Ovis aries: one gene and its partners. The protein of the gene in region 7 interacts with the protein of the main gene of each other region in a pairwise test. Links are inferred from orthologs where the notes say so. Each region holds a gene or a part of one and is shown on either strand. Other genes may lie near its edges. The genes, in order: ZG16, PNMA1, SERPINI2, BPIFA1, SCG2, TFF1 and UBQLN1.

Evidence for each region.
Region 1: the proteins of UBQLN1 (region 7) and ZG16 interact in binary tests that used the Homo sapiens proteins (3 or more experiments, as listed by UniProt). The link is inferred for Ovis aries from reciprocal best matches to the Homo sapiens genes UBQLN1 and ZG16.
Region 2: the proteins of UBQLN1 (region 7) and PNMA1 interact in binary tests that used the Homo sapiens proteins (3 or more experiments, as listed by UniProt). The two-hybrid records come from large-scale screens. The link is inferred for Ovis aries from reciprocal best matches to the Homo sapiens genes UBQLN1 and PNMA1.
Region 3: the proteins of UBQLN1 (region 7) and SERPINI2 interact in binary tests that used the Homo sapiens proteins (3 or more experiments, as listed by UniProt). The link is inferred for Ovis aries from reciprocal best matches to the Homo sapiens genes UBQLN1 and SERPINI2.
Region 4: the proteins of UBQLN1 (region 7) and BPIFA1 interact in binary tests that used the Homo sapiens proteins (3 or more experiments, as listed by UniProt). The two-hybrid records come from large-scale screens. The link is inferred for Ovis aries from reciprocal best matches to the Homo sapiens genes UBQLN1 and BPIFA1.
Region 5: the proteins of UBQLN1 (region 7) and SCG2 interact in binary tests that used the Homo sapiens proteins (3 or more experiments, as listed by UniProt). The two-hybrid records come from large-scale screens. The link is inferred for Ovis aries from reciprocal best matches to the Homo sapiens genes UBQLN1 and SCG2.
Region 6: the proteins of UBQLN1 (region 7) and TFF1 interact in binary tests that used the Homo sapiens proteins (3 or more experiments, as listed by UniProt). The two-hybrid records come from large-scale screens. The link is inferred for Ovis aries from reciprocal best matches to the Homo sapiens genes UBQLN1 and TFF1.

Annotation. Positions count from the first base shown.
Region 1 is NC_056077.1:26,975,619-26,980,090, reverse strand, and holds ZG16 (zymogen granule membrane protein 16), read left to right. Parts: upstream 1-1,627; 5' UTR 1,628-1,653; exon of another isoform or gene 1,654-1,894; intron 1,895-2,680; 5' UTR 2,681-2,687; coding exon 2,688-2,742; intron 2,743-2,925; coding exon 2,926-3,058; intron 3,059-3,808; coding exon 3,809-4,124; 3' UTR 4,125-4,233; downstream 4,234-4,472. UniProt on the Homo sapiens protein: May play a role in protein trafficking. May act as a linker molecule between the submembranous matrix on the luminal side of zymogen granule membrane (ZGM) and aggregated secretory proteins during granule formation in the TGN.
Region 2 is NC_056060.1:83,213,251-83,217,587, reverse strand, and holds PNMA1 (paraneoplastic antigen Ma1), read left to right. Parts: upstream 1-1,376; 5' UTR 1,377-2,191; coding exon 2,192-3,253; 3' UTR 3,254-4,035; downstream 4,036-4,337.
Region 3 is NC_056054.1:220,632,410-220,636,223, reverse strand, and holds part of SERPINI2 (serpin I2), read right to left. Parts: intron 3,283-3,814; coding exon 3,052-3,282; intron 1,631-3,051; coding exon 1,436-1,630; intron 1,351-1,435; coding exon 1,158-1,350; intron 1-1,157.
Region 4 is NC_056066.1:62,735,407-62,739,768, reverse strand, and holds the start of BPIFA1 (BPI fold-containing family A member 1 precursor), read right to left. Parts: upstream 3,034-4,362; 5' UTR 2,994-3,033; intron 2,140-2,993; 5' UTR 2,125-2,139; coding exon 1,965-2,124; intron 1,815-1,964; coding exon 1,655-1,814; intron 193-1,654; coding exon 85-192; intron 1-84.
Region 5 is NC_056055.1:225,805,196-225,809,661, reverse strand, and holds the start of SCG2 (secretogranin-2), read left to right. Parts: upstream 1-1,581; 5' UTR 1,582-1,655; intron 1,656-4,466. UniProt on the Homo sapiens protein: Neuroendocrine protein of the granin family that regulates the biogenesis of secretory granules.
Region 6 is NC_056054.1:263,311,186-263,313,635, forward strand, and holds the end of TFF1 (trefoil factor 1), read right to left. Parts: intron 1,280-2,450; coding exon 1,136-1,279; intron 704-1,135; coding exon 690-703; 3' UTR 512-689; downstream 1-511. UniProt on the Homo sapiens protein: Stabilizer of the mucous gel overlying the gastrointestinal mucosa that provides a physical barrier against various noxious agents. May inhibit the growth of calcium oxalate crystals in urine.
Region 7 is NC_056055.1:36,050,336-36,054,815, reverse strand, and holds the start of UBQLN1 (ubiquilin-1), read right to left. Parts: upstream 2,980-4,480; coding exon 2,800-2,979; intron 1-2,799. UniProt on the Homo sapiens protein: Plays an important role in the regulation of different protein degradation mechanisms and pathways including ubiquitin-proteasome system (UPS), autophagy and endoplasmic reticulum-associated protein degradation (ERAD) pathway.

The DNA of each region.
Region 1 (4,472 bases), on a different chromosome or scaffold from region 7:
AGAAAGACAAAAGCCATACGAGGACAAAATGGCTGGAAGGAGATAAAAGTGGTCACCAGGATGCGCTTGTTTTGGACACGCAGAAGGTTGGAGAAGGGAGATCACACAGCCCTCCTAGATCTCGGAATCTCCCCACCAGGAGCCCCGCCCTACTTCCGGCTCCCCAGGGTGGGGCTCCTTTGTTTCCTGGGATGGGTCCTCAGCACCAGATGGTGAGCCTGTCCTCTGAATGCTGGGCTCCTGGTTATTAATAACCGAGGCTAATGGTTCCAGTCCCTCCCTGGCCTTTGTCCTTCTGACCTGTTGCCTCAGTGGGTGGGAGGGCCAGTCCTAGAGGGGTTCCAGAAGACAAGGGCTGGCAAAGAGAAGAAATCGATGACCCCAATTCTGGGAAGTTTCGGACCCACAGGAGGGAGTCATTGCCCTGGGCGGGCTACAGCACCAGGCAGATTCAGCTATGGTGTCAGAAGTCCTGAGGGCCCAGCACGGCCCCCAGGGCAGGTCCTGTCTGCTTTTACTTCCTCAGCTTCCCATTTGCCCACTAAACTGACTGTCTGTTCAGGGGAGGGGGATCTGCAGGTGTTGCCTCAAGTCGCTCTTCTCAGAGAGAAAAAGTTTGTGAAGCGGCTGACAGATTGATGATGGATGGTTGGAAGAAATAGAGAGTACAACAAAATATTAACCATGAGAGGATTTCCCTGGTGGCTTAGTGGTAAAGAATCCACTTGCCAGTGCAGAAGACATGGGTTCGATCCCTGATCCGGAAAGATCCTGCATGTCCCAGAGCAGGTAAGCCCGTGCGTTGTCACCACTACTGAGTCTGTGTTCTAGAACCTACGAGCCACGACTACCAAGCCCTCCTGCAGCAACTGCTGAAGCTCTCGCACCCTAGAGCCTGGGCCCTGCAAGAGAAGCCGCTGCAGTGAGAAGCCTGCACACTGCAACGAAAAATGGCCCCTGCTCCTCGCAACTAGAGAAGAGCCGGTGCAGCAACGAAGACCCAGCACAGCCAAACATAAATAAATAAAATTATGTTTTAATGAAGTAGAGCTTTGTTTCGTCTGACTCAATTTAATAAAAAAAATTAACCATGACAGAATCTACATGGTGAGCATACGGATGTTCTCTGTATATTCTTACAACTTTTCTACACTTTGAATTTTTTCATATAAAATATGAGAGGAGAGAAAAAAATTGCCCAGCAAATAGTATAAGGTGTTGGAAGTGTCATTCCTTTCCAAGAGAATCTATATTTCAAATGCCTGGAGAAGGCAATGTTTATCCTGAGAGATGGCAGATTGCAGGTAAGGACACCAGCAGAAACCACATAAAGGAGGGAGAACCCTGGATGACACCAGGTGATGAGCAGTGCTGCCTGCCCACAGCTGCTGGCCTTTCGGTTGGTGATATTTTCCCAAGTTTATTCTGCCTCTCCTGAGATCTAGGCCTTGGCCCAGAGTTGGCCCCACCCTGCCACCTGTAACCCTTGGGGTAGGATAAGTTCCAGACCCTGCCTGACAACTGATCCTAGGAGTCTGGTCATGTTTGCTCAGGAGGTGAGGTTCACACGATAAACAGCAGGGGGAGGGCTTGGACTTGGTATAAAAGATCTGGAAGTTTCTAGGGGAGCTATTTTGCACTTGAAACTGCCAGGTGAGGGGTGAAAGAGGTATTGGCTAGGGGGTGACGGGGATTCCTGGATCTGGGTTAGGGGAAAATTCAAGCTGAGCTGAAGATGAGACTCCCTATGAGCCGCAGGAAAGACCTGGGTGTCAACTAACCGGGGCATCTGAATCGGAGCTAGTCTTAGGTGTAAAGACGTCTGGATCTCAACTGTAGGGCTGGAGACACCTGGGATACACCCGTGGCCAGATTTGTGTTAGCAGAGAAAGAGGTATGACAAATAGACCAGGCACCTGGCATCTAATTTCTTAAGCTGATTCCAGCTCCTTCTCAAACTTCTTGGGCTATCCCATCTCCACCAGAACTGCTTGGATGGTGATGCTGGCTGTCTCTTCTATTACCGTGTTCACTCTCCAAGTGACAGATAAATGCTCTAAAATGCTCCTTTCTTTCCAATTTGAGAAAAGGCCCAACCTAGGAATTTAAACTATGCCCCAGATGCCCCACAAGCTGGGCCAATCTACCCCAGTCCGACTTCCTTTAAGCTTTTCTCAGACTCCTGGTTTGATGAACTCAACCATCTCTATAATTTGGAGATGTCCTCCACCTTTTTTTTTTTTGGCTTTGCCATGTGGCTTGTAGGTCTTAGTTCCCCAACCAGGGATGGAACCTGTTCTCCTTGCAGTGGAAGTGCGGAGTCCTAACCACTGGACCACCAGGGAAGTCCCTCACTTCTTTAGAAAATTCCTTTCCTGCTTTGTGCTAGGAGGGAACAGGGGTCGACACAGCTTAATCCAGATAGAAAGTCAGGAGGGAAAAGGAGGGTTGGTTGTAGCCAGACAGGGGAGACAGAGAGGGATTAAGGACACGTAAGATAGTATCTGTGATGAACAGGACTTGAGACTATGGGCAGTTCTTTCAAAGCTGAAGACTGAGTGGACAAGGTCTGCATTGAAGGACCAAGAACCCCAAGACTCAGCTGGAGGTCAGGGGAGCCTGGGTAAATGGCCTCCGAGGGGATAAGGGCAACTATTCACTCCCTTTCTTCTCACTCCAGCCCCAGGATGTGGACCACTGCTCTTCTCGCCCTACTTTGTGCCTCAGCCTCTGCCACAGAGAGTAAGTGAGAAGCCCGAATCCCAGGACTAGATCAGGGGAAGACAGCCGCCCGCGCTGCGGGCAGCCAAGGCTTTCAGAGGCTGACTTGGCGTGGTGGGAACTGAGCTGCGGGAGGAAGAGGGGTGATGTGGAGAAACTGAGCTCTCAGGGGATTTCTCCCCACAACTCCTCCTTTCCCTCCAGTTCAACCCAGGGCCTCCTCCTACAGTGGAGAATACGGAGGCGGGGGAGGAGAACGATTCTCCCAGTCTGGAAACCAGCTGGATGGCCCCATCACCGCCATTCGCATCCGAGTCAGCAGTTACTACATCGTAGGGTAAGCGTCTTCGAGATTCTGTGCTTTGGCGACCTTCTAGGATCTTACTAAGTTAGGAAGGTCTCAGTGACATGGGGTCGCACAGAGTCGGACACGACTAAAGCGACTTAGCAGCAGCAGCAGCAGTCACTTTGGGTCACAGCAGCAAGTCACAGGGATAACATGATACAGAAAAGTTATTAGATGACTTGGATTTGAGACCTGTGCTGCCAAAACCCCTAAGACTCCCACATGTGTGATCATGAGTAACTCATATACCCTAACCTCTGAGGGACCTGGGCATTGTCTAGTTTACCCCAACCCGAGGTTTAAATCCTGCCTGGCATCTTCCGTCTCTAACTGGATGCCTCTCCCCAAACGTGTGTCTTTCTGACATTGGAGCCTGGCACAGCATAAACAAGTTTCTCCCCTCATGGGGGCCTTTCAGATGTTGGGAAAAAAAAAAATCCCTTTTCTTCTTTCAAGTAGGGAGTAGGGTCCCAGTGGGAACGTAGACTCCAAAGGCAAGCTCTGATTTTCACTGTCTGGGTGATTCTGGGCAAGCTGTTTTCCCTCTGTGAGCCTGTTCATCAGCAAGATGAGGAGCTGAAGTTCCATGTATGACCTTCCAGGGCTCATCCAACCCTCACACTCTTCAGGGCTGTCATCTCCATCACCAGTCTGAAGGTCTCAGCCTGTAGGCCAACAGCTCCTGAATTCTGATCATCTTACTCAGTGTCTCCCTTCTTTCCCTCCTCACTCCACCCCTAGTCTCCAGGTGCGCTACGGTACGGTGTGGAGCGACTATGTGGGTGGCACCTCGGGAGACCTGGACGAGATCTTTCTTTACCCTGGAGAATCCATCGTTCAGGTGTCGGGAAAGTACAAGACCTACCTGAGAAAGCTGGTCTTTGTGACGGACAAGTTCCGCTTCCTGTCTTTCGGGACAGACAAAGGCACAAGTTTCAACGCTGTTCCTCTGTACCCCAACACTGTGCTACGATTCATCAGTGGCCGATCTGGCTCCCTTATTGATGCCATCGGCTTCCACTGGGACCTCTACCCCTCTGATTACGAGAGCTGCTGAGTTGCACAGCAACTCTACAATGGGGACTTGGGAACCCACTCACCACTAACCACCATCCACATGTCTCAATTTAAAAAAAACCAACAAACAATAAAAGGGCATGACTACAGCTAGTGGGATGCACCTCTTGACTCTGGGTAGGAATGTGTGAATCTCATTTCTGGCTACTTGTTGTGTGTTAGTCTGGGGAAGAGTGGGAGGAGGAGGGAGAGAGGTGAAAGAATCTTGAGCTTTTCTTCATAATTTATCAAGAGGAGATAAGGTCTTCCTTAGTGGTCCAGTGGTTAAGAGTCTGCCTGCCAATGCAAGAGACATTGGTTCGATGCCTGGTCTGGGAGGATCCCACAT
Region 2 (4,337 bases), on a different chromosome or scaffold from region 7:
AACACATATTCAAGCCTCAGCTATTTAAATGTTTTTATTGAGGCTCACTTTTCTTGCATGGTATTTATTACCAGACTGGCAAGCCTAACTTCTTAGGTTTACAGGAAGTATGCATATTTTTATAAAACAATTGTATGTCCTCCCCATATTTTTGCTGTGTTAATATTTGCCTCTAACAATTTGCAGCTGTTTCACCTTTTCCTCATTTGTCTCTCAGTCGAAGGCCTTGTTGGAGGGGACAGAGCACAGGAACAGCCTTGACAGTCTGTAATTATTGTACAAATATTTTAATAGCATATAAATAAGTATATTCCTTTTATTTTGAAAAAAAAATCAGACACTGCCTTCTGTGTGTTTGCTGCCTGTGGCACCCTTTTTTAAAAAGACTGTTACATATTAAAATAGTGTACATATATATAAATATTACCTCTTTTGCTGTACAGTTGTGATAGACCAGACGGAAGATTTTATTTTTTGTGTGCTTTTTATAAAAAAAAAAATTAACACACTAAAGAAAATCTTGCTGATGTGATTGTAATGTACCTATGTAACTTATTTACTTTTGAATGTTCTTCTGTATCTTTAAACCTTTTATTAAATAAGGTTTTAAAAATTCATAGTTGAATGCTGTGTCCTTTAGGGGAGATTTTCACCATCTAGGATTGACGTAAATTGGCCTTGGTTTGCTTGCAAGGAATTACTTGAAATTTTTGAGCCATAAGCATTCTGTTTTATCAGCCCTTTGTCAGTGATGCCAGGACAGGGGAAATAACACACTAGCGTTTGCCTGGCTACAAAGGTTACTTAATAGATCTAGATCTTACAAAATTTTAGAAGAAAAAGGCTCAACTCAGTGTCTGACAGGAGAACACTGCACACTTCCAGCGTTTTAGTCTTATTGGAATGAAGTTCGCGGAGGGTGCACAGTGCGATCGATCGGCTGGTACTGCATCTGTTTTTAAACAGCAAACTTTGGGAGTTAGTGATGGACCAGGAGACCTGGCGTGCTGCAGTCCATGGGGTCGCAAACAGTCGGACATGATTGAGCGACTGAACTGGACTGGTTGAAGGAGCGACGTGAGTTAAGTCTTTCTTGACAGACTCATATCATCTTCAATGCACTCCAGAATTATATTAAACTTTTAAACACAGTGCTTTGTTTAAAAAGGAAAAAAAATCTGGAAAATGAAAAAGGACATGCGCCATCAGAGGACGCTCCGCGGGCCCTTAGCTGGCACCATGGCAACCGCAGGCAGCCGGAGCGTCAGGGTCTGGAGTCTTCCAGGCCGCCGTTGCCTTGGCTACGCTCGCGCAGGATTCGGCTGCGGGGGCGGGGCGAAAGCCACTCGTCGGCCGGCCCCGCCCCTCGCTGCGGCAGTAACGCCTGGGCTGGCTGCGGGTCGGTCAGGCCGGCAGCCCCTCAACGCCGTTCGGGGTCAGCTCGCCGCAGCCCACGCGCAGCCGCTGCGGCCTGCCTTCGCCGGCGCCGCCTCTAGCCTCGCTCCCGCCTCCTTCCCGCGCCTCGGCTGCTGGTGCTCAGGGTATCCGACTGTCCTCGCCGCCCAGAGAGGTGTACCTGCGCCAGCGAAGAAGCCGCTCTTGGGCTGGCCTCGCTGCGACCTCTGGACAGTCTCCCCCTGCAGGGACGGCACAGTTCGCAGTCTGCAGAGGAGCGGCTCCTCGCGCGCCTGAAGGCCGAGCTCTGACCGCGGAAGCCGGGTTGATGCCAGGAGGGGCAGCAGCGAGTGGTCGGCTCCTGGGCTGCGGAGAACTGGCGGCCACGCCCCGGGATCACACCCCGGCGGCCTCTTCAGAGCGCGGCGTCTCCTGCCTTCTCCTCCTGCCTTCCCTCCGGGCCTCTGCGCGGAGACACGACACCCTGCCTGCAAGTGCGGGACCCGGCCCGCGGACGCCGACCGGAGACACGAGATGGCGTTGGGCGCGTGACTGAGCATCCCCCAAGTTTCGCTCCGAGGACGCGGAGGACGGACGTTGGTGGAGGCAGTGAAAGGACGAGAGCTGGACTCTGGTGTCGTTTGTTAATTGTGATTGCTTGAAGCTTGACTCCCTTGGGCAAATTGCAGGGGAGTGTCCGCTGTCGTCCTAAGTCCTTTAGCACAGGGAGCCACAGTCTTAACTTATCTAACCCCCTGATAACCCAACTATCAGGGGCTCTTGATAGTTGGGGAAAATGGCGATGACACTGTTGGAAGACTGGTGCAGAGGGATGGATGTGAATTCCCAGAGAGCCCTGCTGGTCTGGGGGATCCCGGTGAACTGCGATGAGGCTGAAATCGAAGAGACCCTCCAGGCTGCGATGCCCCAGGTGCACTATCGAGTGCTTGGGAGAATGTTCTGGAGGGAAGAGAATGCCAAAGCAGCCTTGTTAGAGCTCACTGGAACTGTGGATTACGCTGCCATCCCTAGGGAGATGCCGGGTAAAGGAGGGGTCTGGAAAGTAGTCTTTAAGCCTCCGACTTCCGACGCTGAATTTCTAGAAAGGTTGCATCTCTTCCTAGCCCGAGAGGGATGGACTGTGCAAGATGTTGCCCGTGTCCTTGGGTTTGAGAACCCCGCTCCGGCCCCAGGCCCAGATATGCCAGCAGAGATGCTAAACTATATTTTGGATAATGTTATTAAGCCTCTTATAGAATCCATATGGTACAAGAAGCTGACGTTGTTCTCGGGGAGGGACATCCCGGGGCCTGGGGAGGAGACATTTGAGCCCTGGCTGGAGCACGCTAATGAGGTCATTGAGGAGTGGCAGGTGTCTGATATAGAAAAGAGGCGGCGGTTGATGGAGAGTCTTCGAGGCCCTGCTGCTGATGTCATCCGCATCCTCAAGACCAACAACCCAGATATTACCACCGCCGAATGCCTGAAGGCGCTTGAGCAGGTGTTTGGAAGCGTGGAGAGCTCCAGGGATGTGCAGGTCAGATTTCTGAACACTTACCAGAACCCGGGAGAAAAATTATCTGCTTATGTCATTCGTCTGGAGCCTCTGCTGCAGAAAGTGGTGGAGAAGGGAGCCATAGATAAAGATAACGTGAACCAAGCCCGCCTGGAACAAGTCATTGCCGGGGCCAACCACAGCGGGGCCATCCGAAGGCAGCTATGGCTGACTGGGGCTGCGGAAGGGCCGGCCCCTAACCTCTTCCAGTTGCTTGTGCAGATCCGTGAGGAGGAGGCCAAGGAAGAGGAGGAGGCGGCTGAAGCCGCCCTCTTGCAGTTAGGCCTGGAGGGGCACTTCTGAGTCCCGAGAAAACTGACTTTAGTGCAGACCTAGATCACAGCTGCTTTTCGTGTCTCTGTGCTGTCCTGCAGGTATGTCACCTAGTGGTAAAGACTTAGCGTGGTTTTTCTGGGGTAAGTCAGGCCTGCATATTCACGTTAACATTGGTAAAAGCTTGCAAGCCAGCACCAGAGCTGCTGCAGTATGAGTCATGTCAGCCACAATGCCAGGGAGAGACTTGGACAGTGCAAATTGTCAGTGCTGCAAGCTGTCATGGCGTCATCATCATCAGTTGTGAAAACCATGGGAACTCGTGACACTTCCCAGAGGTAACTGAATGTGAAATTGCATGTTCAGAAGTTTTTAGTGCACGGCCTGGCTCACACAAGAAGTGTTGAGTAAAAATGTGAACTGTTGTTATTACTACTATTGTGAGTAGTTTTTGTGTTTACTGTAAATTGTTTCTGATTTATATTAATGGAAAGAAATGTGAATTAGATATTATTCAACTTTACAGTGCAAATTTCTCATTTTTCATCTTTAAACATCTAGATCAGTTTGAGACGTGTTCTGAGGCTGCAAAAGGAGTTGTTAGAAATACTGCACTTAGAGTTGTGTAAATCAAGTTTTCACTGAACAAGATACGAATAGAACAGGGAGGTTAATATGAACCAGCTCAGTATCTATTCCCCCATTTCAAATCTTTATCATTGAAGAAGTTTACCTTGTTCATGCTGGTTCTAAGTGTTCTAAATTTGAAGTTATCAAGCACATGTTTATTAATAAAAATATTTTAAAAATTCTGTTGTCTTGTTTTTCTGACATGTATGAAAACTTTCAGTGTAATTAAGCTCTATGATCTTCTTCGGAAGACTTCGCCATGTCACTGAAAAAAACCCCAAACCTCAGTTCTTTTACTTTAAGCTTTATATCATACTATGTAATTTAAAGTTTCAGTACCTTTCAATATATTCAATTTTTGCATGTTTTCTACCAGACAAGTGTTTGAAGGCAAAATAGACATAACAAATATTAACTTACTATAAAATGTTAGAAAATCCTGAAATGGAGTTTAGGAGGTTATCGAGCAATGCTTCCCCCACAC
Region 3 (3,814 bases), on a different chromosome or scaffold from region 7:
CCTCTTGATGAAAGTGAAAGAGGAGAGTGAAAAAGTTGGCTTAAAATTCAACACTCAGAAAACTAAGATCATGACATCTGGTCCCATCACTTCATGGTAAATAGATGGGGAAACAATGGAAACAGTGAGAAACTTTATTTTGGGGGGCTCCAAAATCACTGCAGATGGTGACTGCAATCATGAAATTTAAAAAAAAAGCTTGATCCTTGGAAGAAAAGTTACGACCAATTACTTTGCCACCAAAGGTCCATCTAGTCAAAGCTATGATTTTTCCAGTAGTCATGTATGGATATGAGAGTTGGACTGTAAAGAAAGCTGAGTGCCGAAGAATGGATGTTTTTAAACTGTGCTGTTGGAAAAGACTCTTGAGAGTCCCTTGTACTGCAAGGAGACCCAACCAGTCAATCCTATAGGAAATCAACCCTGAATATACATTGGAAGGACTGATGTTGATGCTGAAACTCCAATACTTTGGCCACCTGATGAGAAGAACTGACTCACTGGAAAAGACCTTGCTGCTGGGAAAGATTGAAGGCAAGAGGAGAAGGGGACGACAGAGAATGAGATGGTTGGATGGAATCACCGACTCAATGGACATGAGTTTGAGTAAGCTCTGGGGGTTGGTGATGGACAGGGAAGCCTGGCATGCTGTAGTCCATGAGGTCGCAAAGAGTCAGAAACAACGGGGCCACTGAACTGAACTGAACTGAATAGAGAGCACCCTCTATCAAAGGTAACAACATATTTTTTAACTGTATAATATCACAAGTGTCTTGGGAATTTTATTTTCCTTAAACACAAGAGAAGCTAAAATATTTTAAATTTCAACCAGAGAAAAAAATGTTAGAGAAAAATAAGTTTGTATAATAAAAAGAGTAATAATTCTTTTTAATCCCAGCATTCTGTTTTGAAGACATATTTTTTCATTCCTTTCAGAGAATATTGAGTACTTAAATTCTATCCTCCTCATGGCAAAACAGCGCTGGCAATGTTCAGACCTGCTTTGTATCCATAAAGTAGAGTAACAATTCCTAATGGGTTTTTCATTTTATTTTTGTCAATAGACTTTTTAAACATTAATTATCTTTCGGCCAGCTGTTGAAATCCGTCTATAAGTGAAAACATAAGAACTAGAGTGATAAAATGACATTACCAACCTAGGAAGGCTTATTTCCACTTCCTGTTCTTGCATCTCAGAGAACCATTGCAGGGTTTGAGGAGCAGTAATTAGCTTTTCCATTTCTTCTATGTTCACGTGTTCTGCAGGAAGTATGATAATTAAACTAAACTCATCACCTTTATAAGGTAATTCCAAAACCTGGTAGTTTATAGAGGATTCAGAAAAATAACCTGAAACAGAGAAAATAAAATATTAATATACTTAGCAATTCCCAAAGTTGTCCTTTAGAGTGTGATTTTTTTTTTTTCATATTACCGTATTTCGTTCTCAGAAGAGCTTTCATCATTGGAATTTTGACTGCTGTGCCATCTTTCAGAGTGAAATTCATCAGTTGTGTGTCTTCTTTGTTGAATTTCTGTTTCCAATCCCCTTTGAAATAAATAGCATTCACCAGAACAAGCCGAGTCAGAGGACCAAATTCTTCCCCTGAAAACATGTCTTTAATTTTTCCTGGGGAGAGAATAGAGCAAGAGGCAGAAAGAAACAGGCAACAGTGATTCAAAAAACTGCTTTAAATTAAATTAAAACAAAAATTTATCTTGCTAACCAATTAAAAATAGGGTGTTTTATCATTTAAACTTGGAAATTTTTGAAGAGTTAAGGAGGAGATTTATTAAATATTGACAAAGAAACAGGTACAAACAGGACTTCATTAGGAAACAGGAGATTCAGAATTATCTTAGATAAATTTAGACAGACTTAGCAATGGCTGCTCTTTGGTGAAATCATTTGTGTAAATTGCTTTTCAGACAGAAAGAACAAAATCAAGTATCTCTTCATATCTGTTGTTATTTTTCAAACTCTATTTCAAATTCTTCAGCAAGTCAATCAGAATTAATAAATTAGTGGTCCACTCAAATTCTCTGCTGTTGCATCTGTAGCCATTGACCATTCAGAAAGGATAAGAATGGAGTTGCTAATGTGATGTTCCTCTTCTAAAAAATCAGTCTCTGATTTTTATGTCTAATGAGTATTTCAAAGCTATGAGTCAACAGCATAATCAGGTGCCATGGAACTGTCTACAGATGCTCTTAATGTGTATCCCAGTAATAGTACTTGCCTGTGAACAGTGCTCACAATACCCATCTCACATTTTCAACTTATGCTTCTCCGTCGGAGGCTCCCCATATAAAACAGAGTCTCATCTTACACATCACAGATTTTTTCGGCTTAAATAGCAGAATGAATGAATGAAGAAACAAGTTGCTATTAATTGAGGGCCTGATATATACTGGTCTCTTCACACACATTCTTTTTAATCTTTCAATAATCCTAAAACATTATAATAGTATCCTCATTTTAAATGGGGAATGGCTTAGAACTTGTCAGGATTTGAACTCAGATCTGTATGAGCTTAAACTTGTGTTCTACTATGTCTCTCAGTAGTGCCTTTGGAATCTCTGCTAGCTTATACTTAAAAGTTTAGATTACAACTCTATGATAGAACTATCAATGTTTATTATGAAACATTAACACATCCAACTAATATGTGTTAATTATTTACAGTGTATGTGGGAAAGAAAGCATCTGAGATTGATAGATTTAAGTCTTATCTGGCCAAAGATATTATTCCTGCTGTCATACTTAAAAAAACACACTTTAATAAAAGATTACTATTAAAATTCTTCCAGTAAGAATTCTCAATCAGGTTACCTGTCCAAAAAAAAATCTGTATACTTTTCAAAGCTGCTTACAATTTCTCTCCATTTTACAATTCAGTGTTAATTTGAATAACAGGGAAGCAAAATAGAGGAACTGATCCCTCTGAGCCATAATTTAATAGGAAAATATTCAATCATTCTTTACTTTAGTATATTAAAAACCATGAATACAATGGCAAATAATGACTCTATGGAAATGGGAAACTTTACCATCTGTTTTGCTTTCTACCCAGTTACTTATTGTCTCTGCACAAGCCTTTGCATTCTGAAAATCCACCAGCTTTATGGCACTCTGAAAAAATTCCTTGTTTCCATGGAGATACTGTTCTTTCACAGTGAATCCTTCTTGAAGGTAGAGGGCATTGGCAAGATTAAATGTAAATTCTTGTTTTTTCTCTGAGATGGCAGAGAAAAATGACTTCAGCTCAGAAAATTCTTCTCCTGAAAAATAATTATAATGTATACTGACATACTGAACAACATAAAAACAACAGCTTCTCGGCTTTACTTCTAAGCACTCTGATTCATATCACCATTTTTTAGCAGCCTAAGGTACAACTAACGACATTTTCTAAGTTAGTATAAATATTTTAAGCATTTATCCCTTGTGGAATATGCATTTTGTAGAGAAACCAGCTCTCCTACAGGAAAAAAAAACTGTCCATGTAAATTTGAAATTTGTCAAAAATGAGAATATGCATTCAAAAAGGTTGAAAGAAACTCCCTCTTTATAGTCAAATTTAGCTCATTCTTAGTTGTTGGACAGGTATCTTTAGAATCTCATCCTATGCATAACATGAGATATTTGTGAAAGAGGAATACTAATGAATGTTGATGAGGGTAGGACAGTGATGAGCAATCCTTTTCAATACTACTTTTATTTCAGTTTAAGGAAGAATTGCTCTTTTATGACGAACTGTGCCTATCCAAGTTTTGAAATTTATGAGGTAACTGCTGTAATCATCTCTAGAAA
Region 4 (4,362 bases), on a different chromosome or scaffold from region 7:
CAGCTTTTTTCTTGCTTACCACTCATGATCATCAGGGTCTCCTTTGGTGAGCCATCCTCCCATCCCCCCTTGGAGTCCACTCACGTTTTCACATTGAGGATCATGCCCAGAGGGATGGTGACATAGAGACGATGGCCATCAGGGCTCTGCACAAGGCCAAGTTCCAGCAGCTGAGGGTTAGTGATCTTCAAACTGCCCAGGGAGAAACATTGGAGTGAGAAACATTAACTCCTCTAGTCCTAAACTTAGAAACCACATCTAATCCCACCAGGAGCATCTCAGAGATGCAGCTACCCATAAGGTGGGATGGAGGAGATATGAGGAGAGTCTTGCAACAATAGCCACACGAGTTTTGAGTCTCGCATCAGTTTTTCCCATCCTCTGCACTGGGTCAGATCCCTCTGCTCACCTTAGGTCTATGAGGTTTTCCAAGATAAGAAACTGTGTCTCGGTTATGTTTGCATCCTGTACGCCAGCTCAGAGCCTTACAAAGAAAGGGGCTATTTTATAATGGCTGAGTTTGTGGACTAATGGGCAGGTGGGTGGATGAATATGGGGGTAGATGAATGGAAGAGAAAGTGGTTAGATGAAGGGCAGATGGTCAAGTGGATGTATGGGTGGGTAAGTGGGTGATGTCGGGGCAACTGAAGTAAGTCCTCCACATTTAAGAGTAGGGATCATGAATCTTGCTGAGCCCTTCAATGGCAGGTCAATCAATAAAGTTAATCATGAAGACAGAGGAGCAGGAAGCTGGGGAGAACCGAGAAAGGGGGGAAGTAAGCCTCTTCTCTGAGGCCTCTTCTCTCCTCTGAGCTAGCCTCTGTGTCAGATGATTTGCGTCTTCTCCAGTCCTTCTGACAGTTCTCTGTGGGTACCATGATCTTCATTTTACAGGTGGAGAAGCCAAGCCCAGAGAGACTGAGTACCTTGCCCCGGGTCACCCAGCAAGTGCATGATGGATACAGAAATCAGACTCAAGGCTGTCTGTCTGTCTGTCTGTCTTCAAGTCAGAGGCAAGCATCTGGGGGGAGGGGGGGGGCGGCTAGGATTCCTGGGAATGGATTTGATCCAGTTCTGTAAAGGACCCAGTCTTGCCAGCTCACTTTCCACTCTCGCTCTTTGTTAATTGGATTGTTCCATGGACATCACATGATGATGTCACTGAGGAGAATAGCTTACACTTTCTCGCTTACATCAAAAGCCATTGTGTTCACTAGTGAGGAGAGCAACTTAAGAAGGGATTCCACCGATGACGAGAACAAAATTATCATGGTGGAGTGGAAGAAGCCTTGGTTTTGGACTTGAGTCCGTTAGGATCAGAACCCGCACTCTGAGTCACTCTGGTGGTGTGGGCACAGGCCCGTTTCTGTGCCTCCACTTTTCTATGAAACTAGGCATCGTTAAATTGACCTCAGAGGACTATGGTGAGGGTTATAGACAATGCTGGAGATCCAAGCTGTGCTTCCGGACTGGGAGCAGTTGCTGGTTCAGAAGAGCTGCTGCTCCCTGCCAGACTGCGAGGGGGTCTCAGCCTGAGTCCTGGCCTCATGTTCTGATGACCCTGCTCCCTCCCCCAAGGCCACTGCCTGGGGCTGGCTGGTCTCCAGTGGGAGATCTCTGATGGGGTCCAAGGCCCTGTTTCAGGGCTACTCACTCAATGATGTCGTTCAGGAGAGGGGTGAGTGAAGTCACTTTCCCAAGCAGGCCCCCCAGTAGGCCACTGGGAGCATTCCCTCCGGTCTTCAGGATGTCCAAGAGCGGAAGGTTTTCGAGAATCCCCAACAGACCCTCAGAGAGCAGACCATTGCTGAGAGCTGGAAATGGGTGTGGGGTGCTTGGGGGTCAGATCTGACAATTATGGCTCCTCAGTCCTTACCCCCCTTTAGCCCCCTTCCCAACCATTAGATGATTGCGCACACACACCCACACACACGTGGAAGAAGTTGTCACAGACTCTTACTTACCACCTGTCAAGCTTCCAGCAAGATCTGTGGGACTCGGGGCCAGGGCTGGAGTCACAGCCAAGGGCAGATTCTGGTCGAGGGGCACGGGCAGGGCTTCTAGCAGGGCCGTGGTCTGGGCCAACAGCCCACAGAGGACAATGAGGCTCCCGATTTGAAACATCCTCTCACTTAGTATCTGCGGAAAGGACCACTGTGGCGCAGATACTAGAGAGGAACCCTTCCACTGCCTGCCCCCACCCCAGCACACCAGGAAGTGAACAGCAACAGCTGCCTCCCTTTTGCACCAGTCCCCTTCCCAGATGCCACCATCCTTCTCCAGGGCCTTCTTGGTAGTCAGTAAAGGTGTCGACAGCTGGAACTGGCTCCCACAATCTGGAGACACTTGGCTGCTTTGGGCAAAATCCCATCAACTGGCTGATTTGGCCAAAGAGCCATCATTGCTGCTGCCACAGGTCCAAAGAGCCAGCTGTGGCTTCCTTGAGAGGTAAACTTGGCTTGGGGCCTCTGAATCTCTTTTTGGCAACAGATCTTTTATGACTCCAATGGAAGCTAGGGCCCCTTGGTCCCAGAAAAATGCACCAAAATGTACAAAATTGGGTGGATTGTAGGAGGTTGCTGGACCATGGTCTGGATGCACAATGGAGCAAGCGTGTACACTGAGCAATGCACAATGGGAAACTCAAGATAAAACTCGTAGAGACTGGGATTTAGGGCAGGAGGAGCACGCCCATGAGAGAGCCCTAGCTCACGTGGAATTTGAGCAATGTACCTACAGCCACGTGCTCCCTATCACCATCAAATAGCCTGTTGCCAAAAGTCTCTGCATTAATGTCAATGGTCTCTTAGGGAGGCAGAGTGGACGGTTATCACCTTGCCCCCCCAGATGGCAAGCTTTGGCTCTCTTGCAAGACCCCCAAAGAGTGATCTGAAGTGCAGCCAGCCAGTGATGCCACAGTGTGGAGGCTAGCACCTCTGCCCGCCGAGGCAGTAGTGGTGGTGGTGGGGGAGGGTGGAATGCGCAAGTCTCACCTGGCTTCTCAGACGTTCTGGCAGCTGTCGTGGTCTCCTTGCTTTGCTGAGAAGGCAGCCTTTTTTATAGTGTGGAAATCAGGAAATGAGTGATGGAGAGATGGATTTATAGATGATTCAGAATTCGGCAATCTGTTGGTGTCTTTCAGGGCTCTCCAAAGTAAATAATTGCCAGTCACATTAGTAGGTGGAACCGTTAAGCTGTTTGATCGACAAGTTAAACAGAAAAATGAGATGCGGATGTTACTCAAGATTTCATGGTTTCGTGAGCGGGGGTGAGGCTGGGAACCCTTGCTCCAAGGTGACCTGAAGATTCTGTTTGGAGCACTGGGAGAGGCAACTGTTGGAGCCCTGGAAGGGACCTCAGTCTCATCGTTGTTTAACTCGTTGTCCGACTCTTTGCGACCCGCTGGACTATAGCCGGCCAGGCTCCTCTGTCCATGGGATTCTCCAGGCAAGAGTGCTGGAGTGGGGTGCCATTTCCTTTCCTTCTCCAGGGGATCTTCCTGCCCCAGGGATCGAGCCCACCTTTCTCACCTCTCCTTTGGCAGGTGGGTTCTTAGCCACTAGCACCACCAGTCTCGTTGCTGTTCATTTGCTCAGTCATCTCCAGCTCTTTGCAGCTCCACGGTCTGCAGCATCCAGGCTTCCCTGTCCTTCACCATCTCTCAGAGTTTGCTCAAACTCATGTCCATTGAGTTGGTGATGCCATCTGACCATCTCATCCTCTGTCGTCCCCTTCTCCTGCTTCCAGTCTTTCCCAGCATCAGAGTCTTATCCAATGAGTCGGCTCTTCGCATCAGGTGGCCAAAGTCTCATATCCAATGTAGAAAAAGGATCAAATTGTCTCTGATTTCCCTACACCTGGGACACCCCTCGATTCCAGGGTGGGGGTCTCCTGACTTCTGAATCCCAACTGCATGACAGTCACATGCTGGGAGTTAGACATCTTCACAGAACCCTGGAGGGAGGTGTTGCTGCTCCTCCTTTGCAGAGGTGGAGACTGAGGCCCAGTGGGGATGGGTGCCCAAGGACACAGAGAAGATGAGGGCAGAGTTAGTTGCTCCAGTGCTTACTCCTAGACAAATGTCTCTTTAAGTAACAAAATACAAACAAACTATAAGGGACTAAAAATAACTGCATGCGTCTACAGTTGGGGCAAATGATTGACAACAAGACATAAAAAGACCCCAAACCCAACTGCTACTTCTGAAAGGCTGAGAACCAAAACCAGGGTGGTGGTGGTCGGGAGCAAAAGCAGGGTACTGCTCATACCCCCTGCACCCAACACCACCAAAAGGGTGGGCAGACCACTTAAGCGCCTGTCCAGCCCAATGCCTGGACACACCCCCTACCCTCACCCCATAGA
Region 5 (4,466 bases), about 190 Mb from region 7:
GTTTAAGAGTATTGTGGTGTACCTAGAATAGTTAGAAATCATTAAATAAAACTTGATAATGGAAACCTCAGCTCAGGCTTCTTTTCCCGGAACCCTTCCCATTCAAGATTTCTAGACTGAACAATGTTCCCTATTGTGTCTGCTGGCTGACATCTTTCTTAGTGCTTTCCAATTTATATCAAATAAAAATAACCTGTTGTCTCTTATCCTAGAATAGAAATAATCTGTTTGTCTCTTATCCCCATTAGACCAATACATATATTGGGTTGCCCAAAAAGCTTGGTTGTTCAGCTTGTTTCATAACATCTTATAGAAAGACCAAATGAAATTTTTGGCCAACCTAACAGATATATATGCGTATATACATGTAGATACTATTCATCTTTGTATCTAGCACTTAGTAGGCATTACAACATACTGAGTAAGTAAATCAGTGGCTAATTATTCACTTAACAGAGACAAAAGGGATCTTTTATATAGCAAGATTCTTTTGCATTGTTTATTTCAAAATATATGGTTTTTAGAAAAACAATATCTTTAATAAAATGAAGTTAAAAATTTAGACTTATATGAATTATAAACTATATAATCAGGTTACCTGGTAAAGCACAGCAATGATTATGACTACAAGTCTGAGAGGTTGGAAGTTAAGTATTAATACTATATTATTCCTTGAATTGGTCACATTTATGGAATGTATTCAATTCACCTGATTCAACTGGAGGAAGAAAATATTTATAGTATAACTTCCTTTCAGTTACAAACAATTACAGTTGCATATGTGTAACACTTTTCTCAAACAGCAAAATTTTTTTTTCTTTTTCTTATTGAAAGTATTCTCAACTTCCGAGCTTCCCTTTTTGAGATCAGATGTTGTAAAAGATGCCAACAGATTCATATAGAATTATCAACTATTAGACCCGAGTCCTTAGAAATACATACTTCAAAATTATATTGAGACCATAGACTAAAACCCTAATTCATTAGAGCCTTGAGGTCGACTCACATAAAAAAAGAGGACACTTTTTTATTCAAATAAACATGATTTTAAAAACAATGCTACTTGTGGTGATGATATGAAATACGACTTCATATTCATAACCTGTATTCTGTTCCTCTTGAAGCATACTGAGGAATGTTAATGTAATTTCTTTGTGGACACTGAAGGAAAAAAAAAAAGTCCTTATCTGTAAAACTTTCTTTTAACAATGATGACAATAACAACAATAGCAACAGGAAACCCTTATCACAAGCTGTTTGGACACAGATGAGGTTATATTGCAATTAGCCACGTCTATCTGATGGATTTTTCTAAGGGAAATTGTGCAGAACATTTTATTTCGAGCCTCAAAGATTTTGTTAAAAGAAAGGGAACTGCAGTTTTTGCCACAGAAAGACAGGTGGCGTAAGCATGCAACTTTTTTTTTTTTTTTTTCAAAATCTATAAAGTGATTATTTTCTCTCGGGTTCTTTGAAAAAGCTCGCCTGTGCTCCGGTTTGTGGCTGAGCGGGTGACGTCAGTGTGGCAGTGCGGAGTCAGGCGCAGCGGCTCTCTATAAGCCGAGGAGCTGTCCGGGTGCTGAAACTGTCCGAGCAGCTCAAGCCGCGGACCAGGAGGAACATGCTGTGGACTTCCTCTGCCATATAAATAAGAGGTAACACTGCTTTTCCCTTCTACTTACTGGAAAGTTCTAAATTGCGTATTCTCTCCTTAATTCCTAGCTAAGAAGAAAAGGACCATTTGGCAAGCTTATATCTATAGAATAACGGAACGGCAACCTGCTGCTCATCTGGCAACCTAAGGACACTGTATATATGTACATATATATGCATGATTGCGTGTGTGATTTACACTGCTTGCTGTCAGGTATTTATTAACCATTGTGTTATTTAGATAATCATATATAAGAACATGAAAAAGTTAAGGATATTTGTGTCAATACACATTATTAATGTAAAGTTAACCAAGCCTGACATTTGGTTTCTTTCCTTAGTTTATTGTTTCTTCCCCTAAGGACCAGATACAAGGGCAGGGATACAATTTATATACTTAATATACTTAACAGTAGGTGTCCGATGATTCAAAGGCTGTTAAACAGGTTCCGGTGATAGAAACAACCAATTTTGGAGCTAGGTTTGTTTGCTTGCTTGTTTTTTCTTTGACATTTACTTTGCAAGAGCTCAAATTTAACTAACTGTATAAAATTATTTTCTAAATTGGTATACTCTGAAAGGGTTTACATTATTGTTTACTAATTTTGGTCCTAGCAGAGTAAGACTAGAATGAGCTTCTTCGATTTTTTCAGGGGGAAATATTATCTTGGGTTTTAGGTTGGATATGACCATGGATTACAAAGAAATAACTGAAATGTATGAGGAAACATTTATAACCATATAAATTATTTATTATTATGCTTTGGTTGAAAGAGGTTGTACAACATCTTGCTAAATATTTTGAATGGGACAAGTGTTTCTTTTTCCTGTATCCTAACTAATTGAATTGCTCAAATTTGATACATCCAGTTGCATTTGTCAATGCTCTACTATAATTTCAATAGAAAAGACATTTTATCTTATGAGGTTTTTTGGTTCAAACTCTACATAGAACATCAGAACTGTTCAAACCACCTTCAATATTTAGATGAGCTGCTATCAGCTTATCTAAAAAAATCCCTTGAGTCTTAGTCAAAGGCAATAACAATGTCACCCAAACTGAATCTGAGTAAATGACCAAACGGTAGCTCTTGTTACGCCTGTGGTTTAAATAACTGCACTGAATATTCTGCCCCAACACCACAGCCAAGTTCACCTACAAAATAATGATTTTAAAGATCATCACATAACCTAGCATATAACTAGGTTAAGGATACTTCAGGGTAATGGTTTCAAAGAAAATACATACTAAGATTCTTAAAATTGCTAGTCCAAATGCCAATGTGGAAAGTTGATTTTAAAATTTAAACTAATCCTGAAATAATATAAACAAGAATGCATTATGTACTTTTATTTAAGCTAATAAGTTATATATACAATTTGCTCTAGTAAACATTGATTCATAGTAAGTATTTTAGAATCTTCCTCTGACATGCCTTTAAATATTTTCCCTTCAGTAAATTAAGTAGCCAAATTAATGTAAATAAATGTATATTTAAATAATTAATTTAAATAATCATTTTAATAAATAAGTCTGTACTAAAGAAATTTCTGTAAGTACAACATTTTTAGATTCTAAAAACTGAAAATATTACTTAAATACCAATATGATCTAGTGAACAATGATATTTTCTACAATTGATGTCTAAGCTAACAGTAATGATATCCAATAACTTAACTTATATATTACAAAACCATAATTGAGTTAAGATATCATGAGCAAACTTGTAAAATTCCTTTACTTTATTTGTAACAAAATTGCACATATTAAAATAGATTTCAATGTTAGCAATGCCAAATGTAAAACATGTAAAAACTAATCCTCTTGCTAATTCATACAAGAGACTATAAGGCCTTGAAGAAAAAGAGTGAATGAAAAATTTTAAATGGAAGAATTCAATACACTGTATGCATTTTCCTAAACTGGGAATTACATACTGATTATTTTAAAATTTTCTAACAGAATGAGTCATTTGAGATTTCATAGGTCCACACCCAAATAGACACAGAGTCAAGCTGAATTTGAACACTTACAAGTTCGGAAATAGACTGGTTCAGAAAACTTATGTTCCCTTTGTAGCATCTGTTATTATTTACTATATCTCTTGAGGGCTGAGGAAAATATAATCATGATTGCATTTTACAAGACAGTCACAGCAAAATTATTAGAAGAAATATGGGGCACAGATGTTTTAAAACAGTTTATATTTTGGTACATTGGTACATTTACACTGAAATAAATATCATTGGATATCGTGGATTTTTTTTTTTTTTTGCAATTCTTACTATTGTGCTTGTATATCCTGATAGTACCATGTGTGCTATTACATCAATCAAGATGAGTGATTATAAAATACCAGACTTCTAAATTCAATATTTTGGAATTCATTGAGTAAATAAATACTGCTTTGGGGATATTAAAAAAAAAACAACTTTGTTAAGTTTGCCAACTAGCTTGGACTTGAGAAGACCTATATTCTGGAGGTCATTAAGGTACAGACCTTCCAAAATTAATAATATGATTTGGTATCAGACTAAAGGACAAGTTATTTCTGAAAATATATATGAATGAGACTCATCCACAAGAGAATTCAGTATGATTAACATTAACGTGGAATATCACTTCATCTTATATAGTAATGTCACTTTTGTTATGTTTCTACAACAAATTAGATGGACAAGTCAGTAATTAAACCACATGGTTTTTGATAAGGATATAAGTCTGTGTGTACATGCATGTCTTAAATTGAGCCATCTAATCCTTCTGCCAGTGCTTTCAGTGTAAATGCTGTACAAATAACTAAAACTCATCT
Region 6 (2,450 bases), on a different chromosome or scaffold from region 7:
CGAGGGATCACTGGGGACTCTCGACCCTTCCCTTTTGTCCTATTTTCCAACTCGGAGCTCAAGTTTGGGGAACCAGGTGGGTGGGGGAGTTTCCTCAAGGGGTCAACTCATGCCGTCCTCCTCAATTGTTTTTATTATGAGTATGTTCAGGCACTTTGCTGTGGGTTTTATCTCCTAAGTCAGTTTCCATGTGAGGGACATGAAGAAACTGCAAGGCAATTTTTGTTACCACAATGAATATGTAAAGAATGTGATTGAATTGGAGCCTGTTTCCATGATTTGACAAGGGCGTGGCTTCTCTGAGGCTTTTTAACCCGATGGCCTGGTGCACGGACCCCGATGACTGACATCCACCGAGACAACCTAACAATGTTACAAGCCGCGGTCTCTGGCCCAAGATAGCCCGAGTTAATGTGTAATCCACAGCGAGAACCCAGAGGCACAAGTATCGCATTTCTCTTTCAAAGAAAGGAAAATTGTTTACATTTTTATAAGAAGCGCAAGCAGAGAGGACCATTCATCTCTTTTAATTTTTAGGCTAATTTGGAATACAGAGAATCTGAGCAGTCAATCCAGGCAGGGAGTTCAGGTTCATAGGACCCCAAGACATCCGGCCAGCGATGGGGCTGAGCCCCTGGCACCAGGCAGACGTCCTTCTCACTCCAATGCCATTTCCACCAGAAAAGTATCTAAAACTCGCACTCTGCAAGGGTGAAGTGTCCAAGAGAAGAGATTAGTAAGAAAAAGCATTTTCTTTCACTTTTAAATAATCACAGAGAATTTACTTAAAAACATCACTGGGAAAATTCTTTAGAAAACAAGGATGGTCTTTGTATCATAATTGTCACCCTTTGCAAGCCCCCACCCCAGGTGAGCCACGAAGCATTACCAAGGACAGTTCCTCACAGATCCCTGATTAGACATGTGAAGAAAAGCCAGGAAGAGTAGGGTGCCCCACCAAACAGGTCTTTCAGCTCTTTCCATCCCCCAGCCCTGGATTCACACTGATTTAGGCAAAACTACATCTTCCTAGTCACCCCGAGGCCATTACTCTGGGTGAAAACACAGATGGCAACTTGAATTAGGGTTCCGTGGTCCCGTGTATTCAGACTCTGTGGTGTCGACAAGGCCCTACCTTCCTCCACGGGCGCAGTTTGGAAGCACCATGGGACTCCGCGGACAGTGCTGTCAAAGCAGCAGCCTTTATCTTTGCACTCCTTAGCCGTGATGCCGGGGTGACCGCAATTCGTTCTTTGATGGGGTTCCACCTGACACGTCTCTGAAAGAATATGGGCCACGAGGTGAAAGTAAGTCATGGGCTGACTCCTTCCCTATTATGACCCACCCTCCACGTTGCTTCCTTCCCCAGTTAAATCAGCCATCAGACGAGCAGCCCATGGAGACCCAGAGCTCACTTACTGGCGCGGAAACACTGAAACTCAGGAACAATGCAAGGTGTCCGAGATTCATAGACTTTGCACCCACCCAGGCAATTTACCCATTTGCTCATTAACGTCAATGAACAATTATTAAACTTTAGTCACTAGATGAGTAAATATCTGTTGAGCACTGTTTGTGGGTGCTAGAAACTGGAGCTAGCACGGGACACAGACAGGAATCTGTTTATCCCCTCAAAGATCAAGTTCACACCAGGCCACGTGCTGGGTAACAGGGACCTGGAAATTGAAAATAGAGAAGCTGTTGTTGAGAAGCTAACAGTCTGATGGAGAAGGAAGCCAAATAAACATACGAAACAGCATAATACAGCCAGCCACAGGGCAAGCCCAGCAGGGATGATTGATTACAGACTGAATAAAGTGAAGAGGGCTTCCTGTTGGAGGAGGTTGGCCAGGTAAGAACGAGGCAATGGTTATTCCAAGGAGAGAGAGAGCAGAGTGTTCAAAGGTGGCGCAGAAAGAGAGCAAGGTGTGTTCCAGGCAAGAGGGGGAGGCGGGTGGGGCGGTATGGGGAAGGCAGGCTGAGGGCTAGGAGTGGATGATTGCAGCTCTTGAGCAAAGGGAGCCACTCAGACACTCTAGCCAGGTTTGTGAGGCCATTGACCCAAGGCATAGAACATGCAGGGAAGATGGGCAGCAAGTGCCCACGTGATCTAGATGCAAGACCTGTGGGGTCTGGACTTGGGGCTCTGAGAAGGAGCACTGCTCAGATCTGGTAGTGGACAGATTGAGGCAGGGGCAGAAGAGTCTGAAGCCCCTTCTCTCTCTTGGGATGGGAATGGAGAATGGGGGGCTCTTCTCCGCACCTGGTCTCAGGGTGCCCACGGATGAGGGCCATCAGCCAGGTTCCAGAGGGAGGCCTGGCTGTGCAGGTGCTCCATCCACTCCCAGACAAGTCTGTCCCCGGGGCTAGAGGGACGTGCAACGAGGCGTTAGGAGTGTGGGTGGTAAAGAGACGGGGAGGGAAAGAGCCCTGACCGAAGAGGAAAGAGA
Region 7 (4,480 bases):
TCGCAGCACGCCAGGCCTCCCTGTCCATCACCAACTCCTGGAGTTTACCCAGACTCACGTCCATCGAGTCGGCGATGCCATCCAGCCATCTCATCCTCGGTCATCCCCTTCTCCTCCTGCCCCCAATCCCTCCCAGCATCAGAGTCTTTTCCAGTGAGTCAACTCTTCACATGAGGTGGCCAAAGTAATGGAGTTTCAGCTTTAGCATCATTCCTTCCAAAGAACACCCAAGACTGATCTCCTTGCGGTCCAAGGGACTCTCAGGAGTCTTCTCCAACACCACAGTTCAAAAGCATCAATTCTTCCGTGCTCAGCTTTCTTCACAGTCCAACTCTCACATCTATACATGACCACTGGAAAAACCATAGCCTTGACTAGACGGACCTTTGTTGGCAAAGCAATGTCTCTGCCTTTCAATATGCTATCTAGGTTGGTCATAACTTTTCTTTCAAGGAGTAACATAATAATGAGTCTCAAAACCTAAGCTGAATGAAAAAGCCTTACCCAACAGAGTGTATACCGTATACCATTTATGTGAAACTCTATATTTAACTTATATGCAGAGTACATCATGAGAAACGCTGGGCTGGAAGAAGCACAGGCTGGAATCAAGATTGCTGGTAGAAATATCAATAACCTCAGATATGCAGATGACACCACCCTTATGGCAGAAAGTGAAGAAGAACTAAAAAGCCTCTTGATGAAAGTGAAAGAGGAGAGTGAAAAGGCTGGCTTAAAGCTCAGCATTCGGAAAACTAAGATCATGGCATCTGGTCCCATCACTTCATGGGAAATAGATGGGGAAACAGCGGAAACAGTGTCAGACTTTATTTTTGGGGGCTCCAAAATCACTGCAGATGGTGACTGCAGCCATGAAATTAAAAGACGCTTGCTTACTCCTTGGAAGGAAAGTTATGACCAACCTAGATAGCACATTCAGAAGCAGACACCAGAAGACTTCGGATTACACAGGTGTATGTATTTGTGTAAACTCCTGGAATGGCAACCGACTGCATTTCACTGCAAGTCAAATTTACCTTCAAAAATTTTAAGTTGAAAACCTGAACTCAATGGTTCAGTTCAGTTGCTCGGTTGTACCCAACTCTTCGCGATCCCATGGACTGCAGCACGCTAGGCTTCTCTGTCCATCACCAACTCCCAAAGCTTACTCAAACATGTCCATTGAGTCCGAGATGCCATCCAACCATCTCATCCTCTTTCGTCCCCTTCTCCTCCCGCCCTAAATGTTTCCCAGCATGAGGGTCTTTTCAAATGAGTCAGTTCTTCGCGTCAGGTGTCTAAAGTATTGGAGTTTCAGCTTCAGCATCAGTCCTTCCAATGAATATTCAGGACTGATTTCCTTTAGGATGCACTGGTTGATCTCCTTGCTGTCCAAGGGACTCTAAAGAGTCTTCTCCAACACCACAGTTTAAAAGCGTAACATGTACTACTACTTGCAACTTGCTTTGAATTGCATCCAAAAAATAAAATTGACCAATAAATGATTAATTGTTTGATAAAGCAAATAAAGCAAGATGCTAAATGTAGGTGATGGACACATGATAGTTCACTGCACAATTATTCCAACTTTCCTGTATGCTGGAAAATACTTTAAAAATTAAGGGAGAATTTTATAGGAAAATTGAGAGACCAAAAAAATAGGGATTCAAAAGGTGGTCAAAGTTTCTACACATTCTTACTACTTGACAGAACACACCACCGTTCATAATCATATAAACAAATATCGCAATTATTTATTGTTCCTTCAGGGAAACTTACAGGTACGTTTCATTTTTGCTTCTTCATAAACTGTTCACACTGTCTTGGTATCTGCTGACCAACTGTCTGAGATCAATTCAGTAATTACGGAAATATTCTGGGACGTATATTTAACAAAAACTAAAATGATTTAAGTTCCTCAAGATCATTAATTAACGGCAATAACTGTATTCCTAAATAGATTTTAAGCGGTAAATTACTTTTAAATTTCCTCCATTAACTCCAGGTTCGTGCTCTTTCATCTGACTGCAATTGCTAACATGTGAATAACGTTGCTATTCCTCTAAAATCAAACAAAAACCTCCCCAACGACCGGCATCTAAAGAATGACAAATACACTTAGAAAAAAAAAAAAAAAACAGAACCAGCATGTCGTCAACGAAAGTCATCCACCTTTCTCCTTAAGCCTAGTTCTATTAAGATTTGGCTGAAAGCAATTTCTACGTCATAGCTCATTTTTTTCTTTAAAGACTGGAAGGTGGGAAAGATTTCAGCGGTCAAAACGCAGAACTAAATGCACACGTGCTCCTCATCCCAAAAATCTACTTTAATCCCCAGGCAGGTAAAACAATGAGCACCCCCTTTTTTTCTCCCCCCCTTCAAGAGACAAAACCGCAGACCGGGCTAAGCCAAACCCTCGCCCAGCCTCCACTCCGCCCGAGCCAGGCGGCGGGTCTCTTTCCTTTGTGCAGAGTCAGAGGGAGGCGGCTCGAGGCGGGGAGCTGAGGGAGGAGGCTGGGGTCGGCGGACGCCGGAGCAAGAGGAAGGCGCCGAGGAGAGCGGCATCGGCGAGCCCCATAAACAGGCCAAGAGGCCACGCCACAAACCTCTGCGGTGTCCCCAGGAGCAAACCCACAAACCTGGGTGTGATCTAATTTGGGATCAGACCCCGGAGAATGGCCGAGGGCACCTCCGGAGACGACCCCTTACCCTCAAGCCCCTGCAAAACAGTCTCCTCCTGCCGCTGGCGGAGGTCCTGCCGCCATCCCCACCCCGCCCCGAGCCTAGCGCGGCCCTCACCTGCTGGACGGAGCTGTTCTCGGGCACTGCGAACTCCTCCTTCTCCTTCGGGGTCTTCACGGTGACTTTCATGATCTTGGGTTCCGTGGAGGCGGTGGCGGCGGGGGCGCCGGCACCTTCGGCCGCGGCGGCGTTGTCCTGGGAACTTGGAGGGCCGCCGCTTTCACCATTCTCGGCCATGGCGGCGGCGGTGACTCAGGCGCAAAGGAGGGAGCGGGTGAGGGAGCGGGAGCCAGGCAACGCCAGAGCCGGCCTGGCCGGGCAGCGGAGAATGTGGGGCACGCTACCTCAGTGACAACTGGCTCAGGGCCGCCCTGGCGGGCGAGGAGCCGCGGAGCTTGGCGTGGGCTCCGGCGCAGGCCCGAGTCGGGCGCTCAGCAGCCGCTGTGTGTTCAGACGGCGATGAGTCGCAGCGACATCCGCAGCAGCCACTGCCACCGCCGCTTCCTCCTCCCCGCCCCTCCCCCTACGCCGCTCTGCCCGCGCCGCGCGGGGCACGCCGGGTAAGGCGGCTGGCGACGTCGCCGAGTCATGCCTGGCCGGCGCGGTTTGGTTCTCTGAGTGCTTTTCTTTCCCTCTCCTGCTCCATTGCTCAAAGCGTAGGTGCGTCCAGAGTGAAGGACTAAAAACAAAGTGGGGTGGAAGAGGTCAGTTCATTCCTTCTTATCTCTTTAACCAAAAAATAAATTGGGGGGGTTCTGGGAGGCACCGTTAAGGGCGCACGAGGATGACGTCACGGCTAGCGAAATTACTGGAAAGGAAGCTAGACCACCGGGCTCTGCGGCCGGAATTGCGCCTGCGCGATGGCAGGCCCGCTAGTTCCCCACCCTCTCACCTCACTCTGGCGGTTACGGTGCGCATCCCCTAGGAGCCTGAGCTTGCTTCACGGTGTACCCCACGGGGAGGAGGGTCTGGAACAAATGCCCGCGAGGGTTTTTTGTAGTTGATATTTAAATGTGCTTAAATTTCGCGTACTTTAAAAATTTTAAACGCTTGCTTTTACTACACGGTGCGCATGGACGGAGTACGCCCCTATCGCCCACCCTGCTCTATTCCGAGTAGTCAGTGCTCCGGGGCCAGAGCTTCCCATCCTGGTCAGCCAGGTTTGGTCAGGTGATCAGGCCTCCTATGTTGGCAATGGCGCGCTAGCCCACCTGTGATTCTCTGTGAATACTGTCCCGTGAGATGTTTAGGGCAGAAACATAGTATCCAAGGCATGCCCTCCCGGCTGGGACAGCACAGTGTAGCTGAGGTGTTCATTTTATATTCTATCAAATTAACTTACTGCTCTTTCAGCCTTTAGGTGACACAAAAGGTTCAAAAATTATTTTCAGTGTAATACATGTGTAAATAAGAAACAGGAAGTTAATTTTCCCCTAGAGAATATTAAACTGGAAATGACCTCATCACTTGCCTTTAAAGATGGCTTGCAAGAAATGTACAACACTGGGCATAAACTTTATAAACCAGTATTGCGCAAATGTAAACTTTGACACCACACCGTGACCCAGATGTGCAAAGATACACTTTATATTTCTGTTCTTAAACCGTCCAACTCTGTCCTGGCTCTTTTAAGTACTCTTTTATGAAGTCCACTTCTTAGCAAAGCCACTCTGAAATCTGGGTCTAAAGTTCTGAACGTGTAAATTGCTATAGCGACGTCATTTCATATCAGCGAAAT